Macaca mulatta: one gene and its partners. The protein of the gene in region 1 purifies or fractionates together with the protein of each later gene. This does not show direct contact. Links are inferred from orthologs where the notes say so. Each region holds a gene or a part of one and is shown in the gene's direction. Other genes may lie near its edges.

Region 1 (3,750 bases):
TTCGGATCGCCTACACGCTTGTTCCCATCTGGACCCTGTTACCCACTAATTGCGCCCACTATAAAAACTGCCCCTCGGAGGCAAAGCTGTGATCCCCCGCGCCCTTTCCCCCACGGTCCCGGAGGATGAAGTGGGGTGCAACGGAGACTCAGCTGAGCGTCCAGTTTTGGGCAATACAAATCTCTCAGCTTCTAAGAGCAGCCAGACAACCCCGCGGACCATCCCTCCTGAACTTGACCGAGATGCAAACTTCGCAGCGTTTCTCAACGTGGGGGGCCGACTCTCGGGAGACCGCCCCCAAACTTAAGCCCCCTTAGGCTCGCCCCCAACTGGGACTTCACAGAGCCACCTTAAGGGCGGCGCTCCCGCCCCCCGGAAGTGCGGGGGGGCGGCGGACCTGGACTCTCAGCCTCCCGCCCCGCGCGGTGGCGGACGCCGGTGGATGACTTCGAGCCCCACAAGTGGGGAAACACAACCACCCCTCGCCCGCACCCTTGACCCAAAACAACTGGCCGGGTTCCCTGGCCTCCCGGGTCCCCGCATCCCCTGCATCCCAGTCCGCAGCCGTGAACTTGAGCCCCCTCCGTCAGATGTTGCGAGCGTCCGCCCGCTCGCGGCAGCCACCGTCACTAGACAGTCAAACCCCAAGACGTCAGCCCACAATGCACCGGGCGGGCCGGGAAAAACGGCCCGGGGAGGGGACCGGGGAAGAGAGGGCCGAGAGGCGTGCGGCAGGGGGGAGGGTAGGAGAAAGAAGGGCCCGACTGTAGGAGGGCAGCGGAGCATTACCTCATCCCGTGAGCCTCCGCGGGCCCAGAGAAGAATCTTCTAGGGTGGAGTCTCCATGGTGACGGGCGGGCCCGCCCCCCTGAGAGCGACGCGAGCCAATGGGAAGGCCTTGGGGTGACATCATGGGCTATTTTTAGGGGTTGACTGGTAGCAGATAAGTGTTGAGCTCGAGCTGGATAAGGGCTCAGAGTTGCACTGAGTGTGGCTGAAGCAGCGAGGCGGGAGTGGAGGTGCGCGGACTCAGGCAGGCAGACAGACACAACCAGCCAGCCAGGACGGCAGTATAGTCCGAACTGCAAATCTTATTTTCTTTTCCACCGTCTCTCCAACTGCCCAGAGCTAGCGCCTGTGGCTCCCGGGCTGGTGTTACGAGGAGTGCCCAGAGAGCCTGGTCTCCAGCCGCCCCCAGGAGGAGAGCCCTGCTGCCCAGGCGCTGTTGACAGCGGTGGCGAGCAGCGGTACCCACGCGCCCGCCGGGGGAAGTCGGCGAGCGACTGCAGCAGCAAAGAACTTTCTCGGCCCGGAGGACCGGAGACAACTGGCCCAGAGTCCCGGAGCGAACTTTTGCAAGCCTTTCCTGCGTCTTAGGCTATTCGGCGGCGGTAAAGACCAGGAGGCGGCGGACAGCCACGCAAAAGAAGAAGGACGTGCGCTCAGCTTCGCTCGCACCGGTTGCTGAACTTGGGCGAGCGCGAGCCGCGGCTGCCGGGCGCCCCCTCCCCCTCGCAGCGGAGGAGGGGACAAGTCGTCGGAGTCTGGGCGGCCGAGACCCGCCGCTGGTCGGCCTCTGCGGGTCGGCACTGATCCGCGCCGCCGGGAGAGCCGCTGCTCTGGGAAGCGAGTTCGCCCGCGGACTCCAAGGAACGGCGGCGCCCGAAGAGCGCTCAGTGAGTGACCGCGACTTTTCAAAGCCGGGTAGCGCGCGCGCGAGTCGACAAGTAAGAGTGCGGGAGGCATCTTAATTAACCCTGCGCTCCCTGGAGCGAGCTGGTGAGGAGGGCGCAGCGGGGACGACAACCAGCGGGTGCGCGCGCTCTTAGAGAAACTTTCCCTGCCAAAGGCCCCGGGGGGCACGGGTGTCCCCCGCTTGCCAGAGCGCTGTTGCGGCCCCGAAACTTCAGCACGCAGCCCAAACTAACCTCACGTGAAGTGACGGACTGTTCTATGACTGCAAAGATGGAAACGACCTTCTATGATGATGCCCTCAACGCCTCGTTCCTCCCGTCCGAGAGCGGAGCTTATGGCTACAGTAACCCCAAGATCCTGAAACAGAGCATGACCCTGAACCTGGCCGACCCAGTGGGGAGCCTGAAGCCGCACCTCCGCGCCAAGAACTCGGACCTCCTCACCTCGCCCGACGTGGGGCTGCTCAAGCTGGCGTCGCCCGAGCTGGAGCGCCTGATAATCCAGTCCAGCAACGGGCACATCACCACCACGCCGACCCCCACCCAGTTCCTGTGCCCCAAGAACGTGACAGACGAGCAGGAGGGCTTCGCCGAGGGCTTCGTGCGCGCCCTGGCCGAACTGCACAGCCAGAACACGCTGCCCAGCGTCACGTCAGCGGCGCAGCCGGTCAGCGGGGCGGGCATGGTAGCTCCAGCGGTAGCCTCGGTGGCAGGGGGCAGCGGCAGCGGAGGCTTCAGCGCCAGCCTGCACAGCGAGCCGCCCGTCTACGCCAACCTCAGCAACTTCAACCCAGGCGCGCTGAGCAGCGGCGGCGGGGCGCCCTCCTACGGCGCGGCCGGCCTGGCCTTTCCCGCGCAACCCCAGCAGCAGCAGCCGCCGCCGCAGCCGCCGCACCACCTGCCCCAGCAGATGCCCGTGCAGCACCCGCGGCTGCAAGCCCTGAAGGAGGAGCCTCAGACAGTGCCCGAGATGCCTGGCGAGACGCCGCCCCTGTCCCCCATTGACATGGAGTCCCAGGAGCGGATCAAGGCGGAGAGGAAGCGTATGAGGAACCGCATTGCTGCCTCCAAGTGCCGAAAAAGGAAGCTGGAGAGAATCGCCCGGCTGGAGGAAAAAGTGAAAACCTTGAAAGCTCAGAACTCGGAGCTGGCGTCCACGGCCAACATGCTCAGGGAACAGGTGGCACAGCTTAAACAGAAAGTCATGAACCACGTTAACAGTGGGTGCCAACTCATGCTAACGCAGCAGTTGCAAACATTTTGAAGAGAGACTGTTGGGGGCTGAGGGGCAACGGAGAAAAAAAATAACACAGAGAGACAGACTTGAGAACTTGACAAGTTGCGACGGAGAGAAAAAAGAAGTGTCCGAGAACTAAAGCCAAGGGTATCCAAGTTGGACTGGGTTGCGTCCTGACGGCGCCCCCAGTGTGCACGAGTGGGAAGGACTTGGCGCGCCCTCCCTTGGCGTGGAGCCAGGGAGCGGCCGCCTGCGGGCTGCCCCGCTTTGCGGACGGGCTGTCCCCGCGCGGACGGAACGTTGGACTTTTCGTTAACATTGACCAAGAACTGCATGGACCTAACATTCGATCTCATTCAGTATTAAAGGGGGGAGGGGGAGGGGGTTACAAACTGCAATAGAGACTGTAGATTGCTTCTGTAGTACTCATTAAGAACACAAAGCGGGGGGGAGGGCTGGGGAGGGGCGGCAGGAGGGAGGTTTGTGAGAGCGAGGCTGAGCCTACAGATGAACTCTTTCTGGCCTGCCTTCGTTAACTGTGTATGTACATATATATATTTTTTAATTTGATGAAAGCTGATTACTGTCAATAAACAGCTTCATGCCTTTGTAAGTTATTTCTTGTTTGTTTGTTTGGGTGTCCTGCCCAGTGTTGTTTGTAAATAAGAGATTTGGAGCACTCTGAGTTTACCATTTGTAATAAAGTATATAATTTTTTTATGTTTTGTTTCTGAAAATTCCAGAAAGGATATTTAAGAAAATACAATAAACTATTGAAAAGTACTCCCCTAACCTCTTTTCTGCATCATCTATAGATAC
Region 2 (3,650 bases), about 150 Mb from region 1:
CCTATTTTTGCTTAGTGAGTCTCTGTGTGCCTATTATGGCCCATTTCTAATGTTGCCTTCTATATGAAGTGTGCTTGTTAACATTTTGATTGATCTCTGTGTGTATACTTTGTAAATCTATTTTAATGATAGTACTGATTATCACATTATAAGTACTGTATCATATGAATCTGTCTTGCTTGTCTGAATTGCTTGAGGCCTTGTATTGTATCTTTGAAGCTTGGATCCTTATGAACTTGGTATCTGTTTGGTGTTTTCAAAAATATTTATACTTGCATTGTGGTATAGTGGGAAGTATCAGACAGTTGGGTCTATATTCTCAGTACTACTTCATTGTATATGTCACCATGCATAAGTTCCTTAATGCTCTCTGTGCTAATATTCATCTCTAATTGGGGAGAATAATCTGTAAGATATTGTCTATAAAGTGCCTACCTAGCCTAGTACTAGTTTCCCTTTAAAAAAAAAAAAATCAGTTTTTTGTGTCAGTTTATATTTGTTGGTTGTAGAAAAATTGAAAAATCCAATTTAAAGTGGTTAAACATTATGGAAAATGTATCGATTCACAGGAAAAGAATTTCTAGAGCTAGTTATCAGTGGTTCAGTGGTATTATCAGGTTCTTTCTGTTGTTCTGTTCTTCCATTGCCAGCGTATACCTTAGTCTTTTGGCTGGCTATTCTTGAGATTACAAGATGGCTCTGAGCAGTTTCAGATACCCCTTATGAAGGCATGGTTTTTTCTCCTATCCTTTTCTTTCTGAAAGATAGCACATCTCTCTTTGGTCAAAATTGGGTTACATACTTAACCCCACGTCAACCACTGGCAAGGGCATGAATGACTAGATTGCCTTAGGTTAGTCAAAGTAATACATGGGGTTGGGGTGAGATCTAACTTCTCTGAAAGTTATATGGCAGTCTGATACTTGGAAAAAAAGTCATGTTATTATCAAGAAAAAGAGTAGGATGGTCTTTGGATAGGTAACTAAAAGTGTCTTCCATGGCATTTTTAGAAAAATTACAAAGAGAAAGAACAAATGCAAGTCTTTAGTGCCTAGCTCATAGGAGATACTTAGTTACTCATGCCTTGTTACCATATGGGGCATGTGATGGTCTCATATGGTGAATGAGGATTTCTCTCTCAGGTGCCAGTAGCGTCATCATTGAGAAACTTGTAAGGGAAAATTCATATTCTGAAGAATTCTCCTATAGTAATAGTAGTTGTAGTAGTAGCAGCTGCAGCACAACTGTTTTCTAATTTGAAATAAAATAAAAAGCTAACACTTTCTGTTTAGCATGTTTTTAATTTGGAGGCTGTGTATAGGTAAAATAGAATCTATCTAAACTGAAGAATTACACAATACATTTAACAAAAATACAAATTATTTGTGCTTTTTATTTTGTTTCTGTTTTCAGTGAATGAACTCATTCTTAAACAAAAGCAAAGATTTGAGGAAAAGAGGTTCAAATTGGACCACTCAGTGAGTAGCACCGTATGTTTCAACTCTTATTACTATTTTTAATACATTTCATTTTGTTGTTTTTATTGGTTTAATATTAGTTAGACGTTAAAGTTTAATATATTATTGATTTTTCTTAACGGAGATTGTTAGGATTGTTCTAGTCAAATAACTTTCTTAACTGCATTATCTGTAATACTTTGCTAGAGTGCTCCTATTTTGAAAGGTCTGGTAGGATTATATTGAAACATTTGTCTTTTAATACTTGACATTTGAAGGATTGTATTGCGTGGTGAAACAATGGTTAGATATTTTCAAAAAAACTGTCGAGGCTGGGCTTATACCTGTAATCCTAACACTTTGGGAGGCCAAGGCTGAAGGATCACTTAAGCCCAAGAATTTGAGACTAGCTTGGGCAACATAGTGAGAGTCTGTCTATATTCAAAGAAAAACAAAAACAAACCTTTGAAAGATTCTCAATTTTAAAGGCTTAGTCCCAAATTTCCAAGGCAAATGAGCTTAATACCTTACTACATGCAAAATTGAAAATATGGCTAGACAAATAATTAAATTCAGTTATTTTGAAGGTAAATTACAGCTTTAGAATATTCTCGAATGCACCTTTTATATTTGTTATCTTAATTCATTTAAGGGAGAAGAAATAGTGTTTAAGTTATAACTAGAAGACAGTAGGGAGCCGCTAGCTAGGAAGGAGTAGTTTGGAACATTGCAGTGTGTTTTTGGTGTCTATGTAATGAGCATATTAGGAAGTAGCAAGTAAACATTTGTTTTAGTCTCTAAAACAGTCTTCTTAGGAAGTTGTTGTTTCTTCTTTCTTCATTTTTAGAATGGCCACAGGTGGCAGATATTTCAAGATTTGTTGGGAACTGACCAAGATAACCTTGATTTGGCCAATGTCAATCTTATGTTGGAGTTACTAGTGCAGAAGAAGAAACAACTGGAAGCAGTAAGTGGTAGCTAACCTTAAAAAATATTTTAAATGGTGAACTTTATTGCAATGAAAAAGATCTAAAAAATGATAGGATAGCTTCACTAATCCACTCATTTTTACTCAGCTAGAAACAGCTACAAAGTGTCACTTCTGCTAGATTCCCCCTTTTAGTAACTTAAAGAACAATTTCCATACATTATAACTTATTTGCAATGACCAGTTTTTATTAACAAAAGCTGAGTGTTAAAAATCTTCAGAAAGAAAAGTTTCATTTTCATAGGAAATAGTTTTGTTGGTCATTTGTCTTCTAATGAGTATCTTTCTTGCCATATCATCCCCTATTCATATGTGAGAGTTGGAGGAGAAATAGAGATTATTTTTATCTACATAAAATTCTTTCAGCAGGTGTCCATTGGTAGCAACAGTAGTGTATGGCATAACTAAGAGCATTTAAAGAGATCTGTACTAAATATATCTTATTTAATGTAATGTAAAATTCCATTTATTTTATGTAAATGTTAAAGATGTAAAATGTGAAATTGCAAGTGTTGGGAATTGAGTGTGATATAAGCAACACACACCTTAGCATAAGCAAATACTACCCTGAGGCTAAACATAAAGGGAGTATTTATTGACACAGTAAAGGAGTGAATAACACATACACACAAAAAGGAATAGTTGAACAACCAAACTTTGAGAAGATTAGAACCATGGCTTCTCTGGAATGCTACAAGTACATGAGATTAAGGATTTGAATGTTGTTGAGAGTCTTTCTTTTGTGCCCCTTGTGACTATTTGATTGGGACAGCTCTGATTTTCTTTTCTTACAGACTTCTTTATCACATGGTGGATAATAATGTCATTTGCACTCTTGGTTTATATGCATGTTTTTTGATAAAAGAAAAAAAAGGAGCTTTTGTTTCCAACTGCAGTTAAAAAATTTTTGTGGCTAGATTATGATTAACTTAGCTTGGATCTGGATCCCACTCACTGTGGTGGGGATCTGCTAGTAGGAGAAAGGTGTGTCAGGTTGAGCCAGCCAGGATGAGTTGTCTCCCATGTTGTATCTGTTTGGGAGGTGGGGTTCATGGGAATTTCTCTTACGGTTTTAACCGTAGTTTTCTATTAGCATCTGCTATGTGCCAGGGGTTGTGTTAAGGGCTGTGGACAAGCTAAAGTTCTGCTGTGTGCGTGTGTTTGTGAACTAAATCGTAAAGCACGTATTTTCACATGGTGATAAG
Region 3 (3,650 bases), on another chromosome or scaffold:
TCATACACACAGCGTGTGACAGGGCTCAGTGCTGCTTCAGGCATCGATTTAACGCTTTCAAAGGCCCAGCTTCCCAATCACCTAGAAAGCTCTCCTGGATCTCCTTTCACCCTGGTGAGCCCTCTGAGGGGCAGGCAGGCCCAGGTGGAGTGTGCAGGTCCGGCTAGTCCTCTGCATTAAGAACTGTGAAAGAGTCACAATAGGATTTCACCTGCCTTCCTGGCTTCATGGGCTTCTTTTGATAGGAGCCACAGTGGCAACGATGTCCCAGAGGTATGTTAGCAACACAACTTTACCACTATTAGAATGAAAGGAGCCCACAACCTGCTCAGAGGTTTTCTGCAGATGACAGTTGAGTCATCCATATTGTGATAATAACCCTGACCTTTCTGTTTTCACCCTGTAGCCATACATTGGCTATTTTAAAGTTGTTTGTTTTTGTTTTTGTTTTTTAGAGACAAGGTCTTGCTGTGTTGCCCAGGCTGGAGTGCAGTGGCACAATCATAGCTCATGGCAACCTCGACCTCCTGGGCTCAAGCAAGCTTCCCACCTCAGCCTCCTGAGTAGTTAGAACTGCAGGCATGCACCACCATGCCTGGCTAATTTTTCCATTTTTTTTTGTAGACACAGGGTCTTGCTATGTTGCCCAGGCTAGTCTGAAACTGCCGGCCTCAAATGATCCTCCCGCCACACCTGACCCTTACTTTAAAGTTTTTAAACACACCGTCAGTAAAACATTTTTAATAGCTGAAGGAGAAAAATAAATGTTTCCTCTACCATGATTCGGCTAAATGCCTGTCAGGGAAAAATCCATCTGACTACATCTTTTCACAAGTCATTCCTATATCTTGCCAACACATCACAGAATATATAGGTCAGTGATGCTTTTTCTTTTCTGAGTGTGATTTCATCATTTATTTCATTCATAGGAGGCAAGTCTCATATGCTGACTGAAGGGATAGACTTTCTGTGCTTTGCATTTCAGCATCAGCTTGGGTTTCTTCCCTTACCTAACACGTCCTTCCCTATCCCCATCACCTCCTCCCTCTCTGTCCCAGCAGGTTTCACCAGCAACACAACAGATGCAGCCAACCCAGACAATACAGCCACCCCAGCCCACAGGGGGGCGCCGGCGAAGGGTGGTGGACGAGGATCCCGACGAGAGGCGGCGGAAATTTCTGGAACGGAACCGGGCAGCTGCCACCCGCTGCAGACAGAAGAGGAAGGTCTGGGTGATGTCATTGGAAAAGAAAGCAGAAGAACTCACCCAGACAAACATGCAGCTTCAGGTGCAGCCCACGGTGTCTTTCCCCGGGACTCAAAGGCCCTCTGCTCCGCGGGCATTTCCGGCCCCGACAGGCACTTGTTGACCTAAGCAGTGATGCCACACACTTAGTCCACAGAGGAGCCGCAGCCTCACTCCTCGAGCTTTATTAATTCCGGGACACTCTACAAAACAAAATTAACCGTTCAGTTTTTCAATCAATTTGCCCACAGAGCTCTGAGAAGGGGGGACCTACCCAGCTAAGTTGTAGGCTGGGAGCACAGGCTTTAATCCGACAGAGATCCAAACCCGGTTCAGCAATTACTTGCTAGGTTTAACTCGCTGGCGCTCTGTTTCTTCCTCTATAGAATGGGAATCATAACTTTATAGAGTTGTTACATTAGGGGGAATAAACAAACTAATGTCTCCAAAGCAGTTGCCCAGTGCCTGGCCCATAATAAACCTTCAACTGAAAAGGAGCTGTTCGTTATATTCACTAGGTTGAGGGGGTTGCCTTGGCTTATACTTGGTTATCTCTATTTTTGTTTCACATGAAAGAAAGAAAGGTTTATGGTCATTATGTAGCTCTGAAAGAAAAGGCATGTTTTCATCTCATTTGCCAACTCACCAAGATTTGAATCTTGCATAATTTTTGCTTTTTATGAATGGCTTCACTGGGGAGATTTTATAATGAGGCCCAGAAGTGTCTGGGCGTGTCTAAGAGAAAAGGAAGAAACTCTAGTACCCGGGCTTCTCCGGCAGACTTTATAGTTTATAATGATGTAGTTCAGAGCATTTGTTCTAATGTTAAAAATATGTGCACTATTTATCAGCAGAAAAAAAGGCAAGTAAATAGACACGTATGTGACCCACAGTCCAGGGATAGCATTAAGAGTTGTGGATTATACTCCAGTGCTTCCAGAAGCTGAGAGAATGGCCAAAGAGAGTGGGGCAGGGAGGAAAGTACCCTACATAGGGAGACTCTGCACTTTAAGAGTTCATGGGGTCTGGGTGCAGTGGCCCACACCTGTAATCCCAGCACTTGGGGAGGCTAATCACTTTGGGAGGTGGCGGGATCACTTGGGGTCCGGAGTTTGACCAGCCTGGCCAAGGTGCAGAAACCCTGTCTCTACTAAAAATACAAAAAAAATTTGCCGTGGTGGCTCAGGCCCGTAGTCCCAGCTGCTCAAGAGGCTGAGGCAGCAGAGTGGCTTGAATGCAGGAGGGAGAGTCTGTAGTGAGCCAAGATCGCATCACTGTACTCCAGCCTGGGCAACAGGGTGAGACTCTGTCTCAAAAAAAAAATAAAAAATAAAAAAATAAAACAGTTAATGGCTAGGCATTGGTAGGTTACTTTCATCTTCTTCCCACACCTAGTTCTCTGTGCATCCTTAGAAAGGAACAGTTAGGGTGCCAAACCCCAAAGCCTTTGCATATTCAGTTTCATTAAATGGAGATGGCTTGGGGCTTCCAGTGTACAAATTGAAAGTATATAAGGAAAGTGTGTGTTGTATGAGGGCCTGAATTTCATAATTTATGGATGTTCATTTTTCCCCCTAAATGTGTCATTCTTTTTGTGATAGACATGATGAGCAAGAAACTGCGAAACATATAGCAGATGTGAGGAAAATAAGATAATGATTCCTGCACTAACTTGCATGCTGCGGGAAGATTGGGACTGTCTCTTGCTACTCCCTCCGCCCACTATCTATCTGCTGTTTATAGTGTGGTGTCTACACTCAGTAACTTATTTGTTGAATAAATGAATGGGTTCCCCTGTTTATAGTATAGTGTCTACACTCAGTAACCATTTGTTAAATAAATGAATGAATTCCTCATTGCTGGAGTGTCTAAGAATTGGCTGCTTGACTACTTGGCAAGGATGTGATTGCAGGGAGTCAAGCCACCAGAGAAATGGCTGGACTCAAACACCTTTAAAACCACTTGTAGAATCTGATAGGCACAGTAGTATCTGAGAAACTTTTAGGTAGAATGTGGTTAAGCATTTTTCTTTTTTGAGACAGAGCCTCACTCCATTGCCCAGGCTGGAGGGCAGCTTACTACAGCCTTGACCTCCTGGACTCGAGTGTTCCTCCCACCTCAGCCTCCCGAAGTGTACATCACCATGCCTGGCTAATTTTTTTTTTTTTCTCTAGAGACAAGGTCTTATTATGTTACCCAGGCTGGTCTCAAACTCCTGGGCTCAAGCAACCCTCCAACCTCAGCCTCCCAAAGTGTTAGGATTATAGGTGTGAGCCTCTATGCCAAGCCAAGCATTTTTAATATTAATAATCATATTTTAATTTTGATGTGTATTGAAAAATGTAATTAGAAGATCAAATCTGCAATTTCAAAGATATTAGTAAGAAGGCTAAATTATTCAAAA

The links.
Region 2: the proteins of JUN (region 1) and COP1 purify together in Homo sapiens (affinity purification with western blotting; 9 studies listed by BioGRID and IntAct, counting the BioPlex papers as one, with this or other methods). This does not show direct contact. The link is inferred for Macaca mulatta from reciprocal best matches to the Homo sapiens genes JUN and COP1.
Region 3: the proteins of JUN (region 1) and CREB5 purify together in Homo sapiens (affinity purification with mass spectrometry; 5 studies listed by BioGRID and IntAct, counting the BioPlex papers as one, with this or other methods). This does not show direct contact. The link is inferred for Macaca mulatta from reciprocal best matches to the Homo sapiens genes JUN and CREB5.

Annotation. Positions count from the first base shown.
Region 1 is NC_133406.1:181,865,327-181,869,076, forward strand, and holds JUN (transcription factor Jun), read left to right. Parts: upstream 1-969; 5' UTR 970-1,953; coding exon 1,954-2,958; 3' UTR 2,959-3,286; downstream 3,287-3,750. UniProt on the Homo sapiens protein: Transcription factor that recognizes and binds to the AP-1 consensus motif 5'-TGA[GC]TCA-3'.
Region 2 is NC_133406.1:33,619,839-33,623,488, reverse strand, and holds part of COP1 (E3 ubiquitin-protein ligase COP1), read left to right. Parts: intron 1-1,413; coding exon 1,414-1,490; intron 1,491-2,304; coding exon 2,305-2,424; intron 2,425-3,650. UniProt on the Homo sapiens protein: E3 ubiquitin-protein ligase that mediates ubiquitination and subsequent proteasomal degradation of target proteins.
Region 3 is NC_133408.1:99,536,198-99,539,847, reverse strand, and holds part of CREB5 (cyclic AMP-responsive element-binding protein 5), read left to right. Parts: intron 1-1,061; coding exon 1,062-1,289; intron 1,290-3,650. UniProt on the Homo sapiens protein: Binds to the cAMP response element and activates transcription.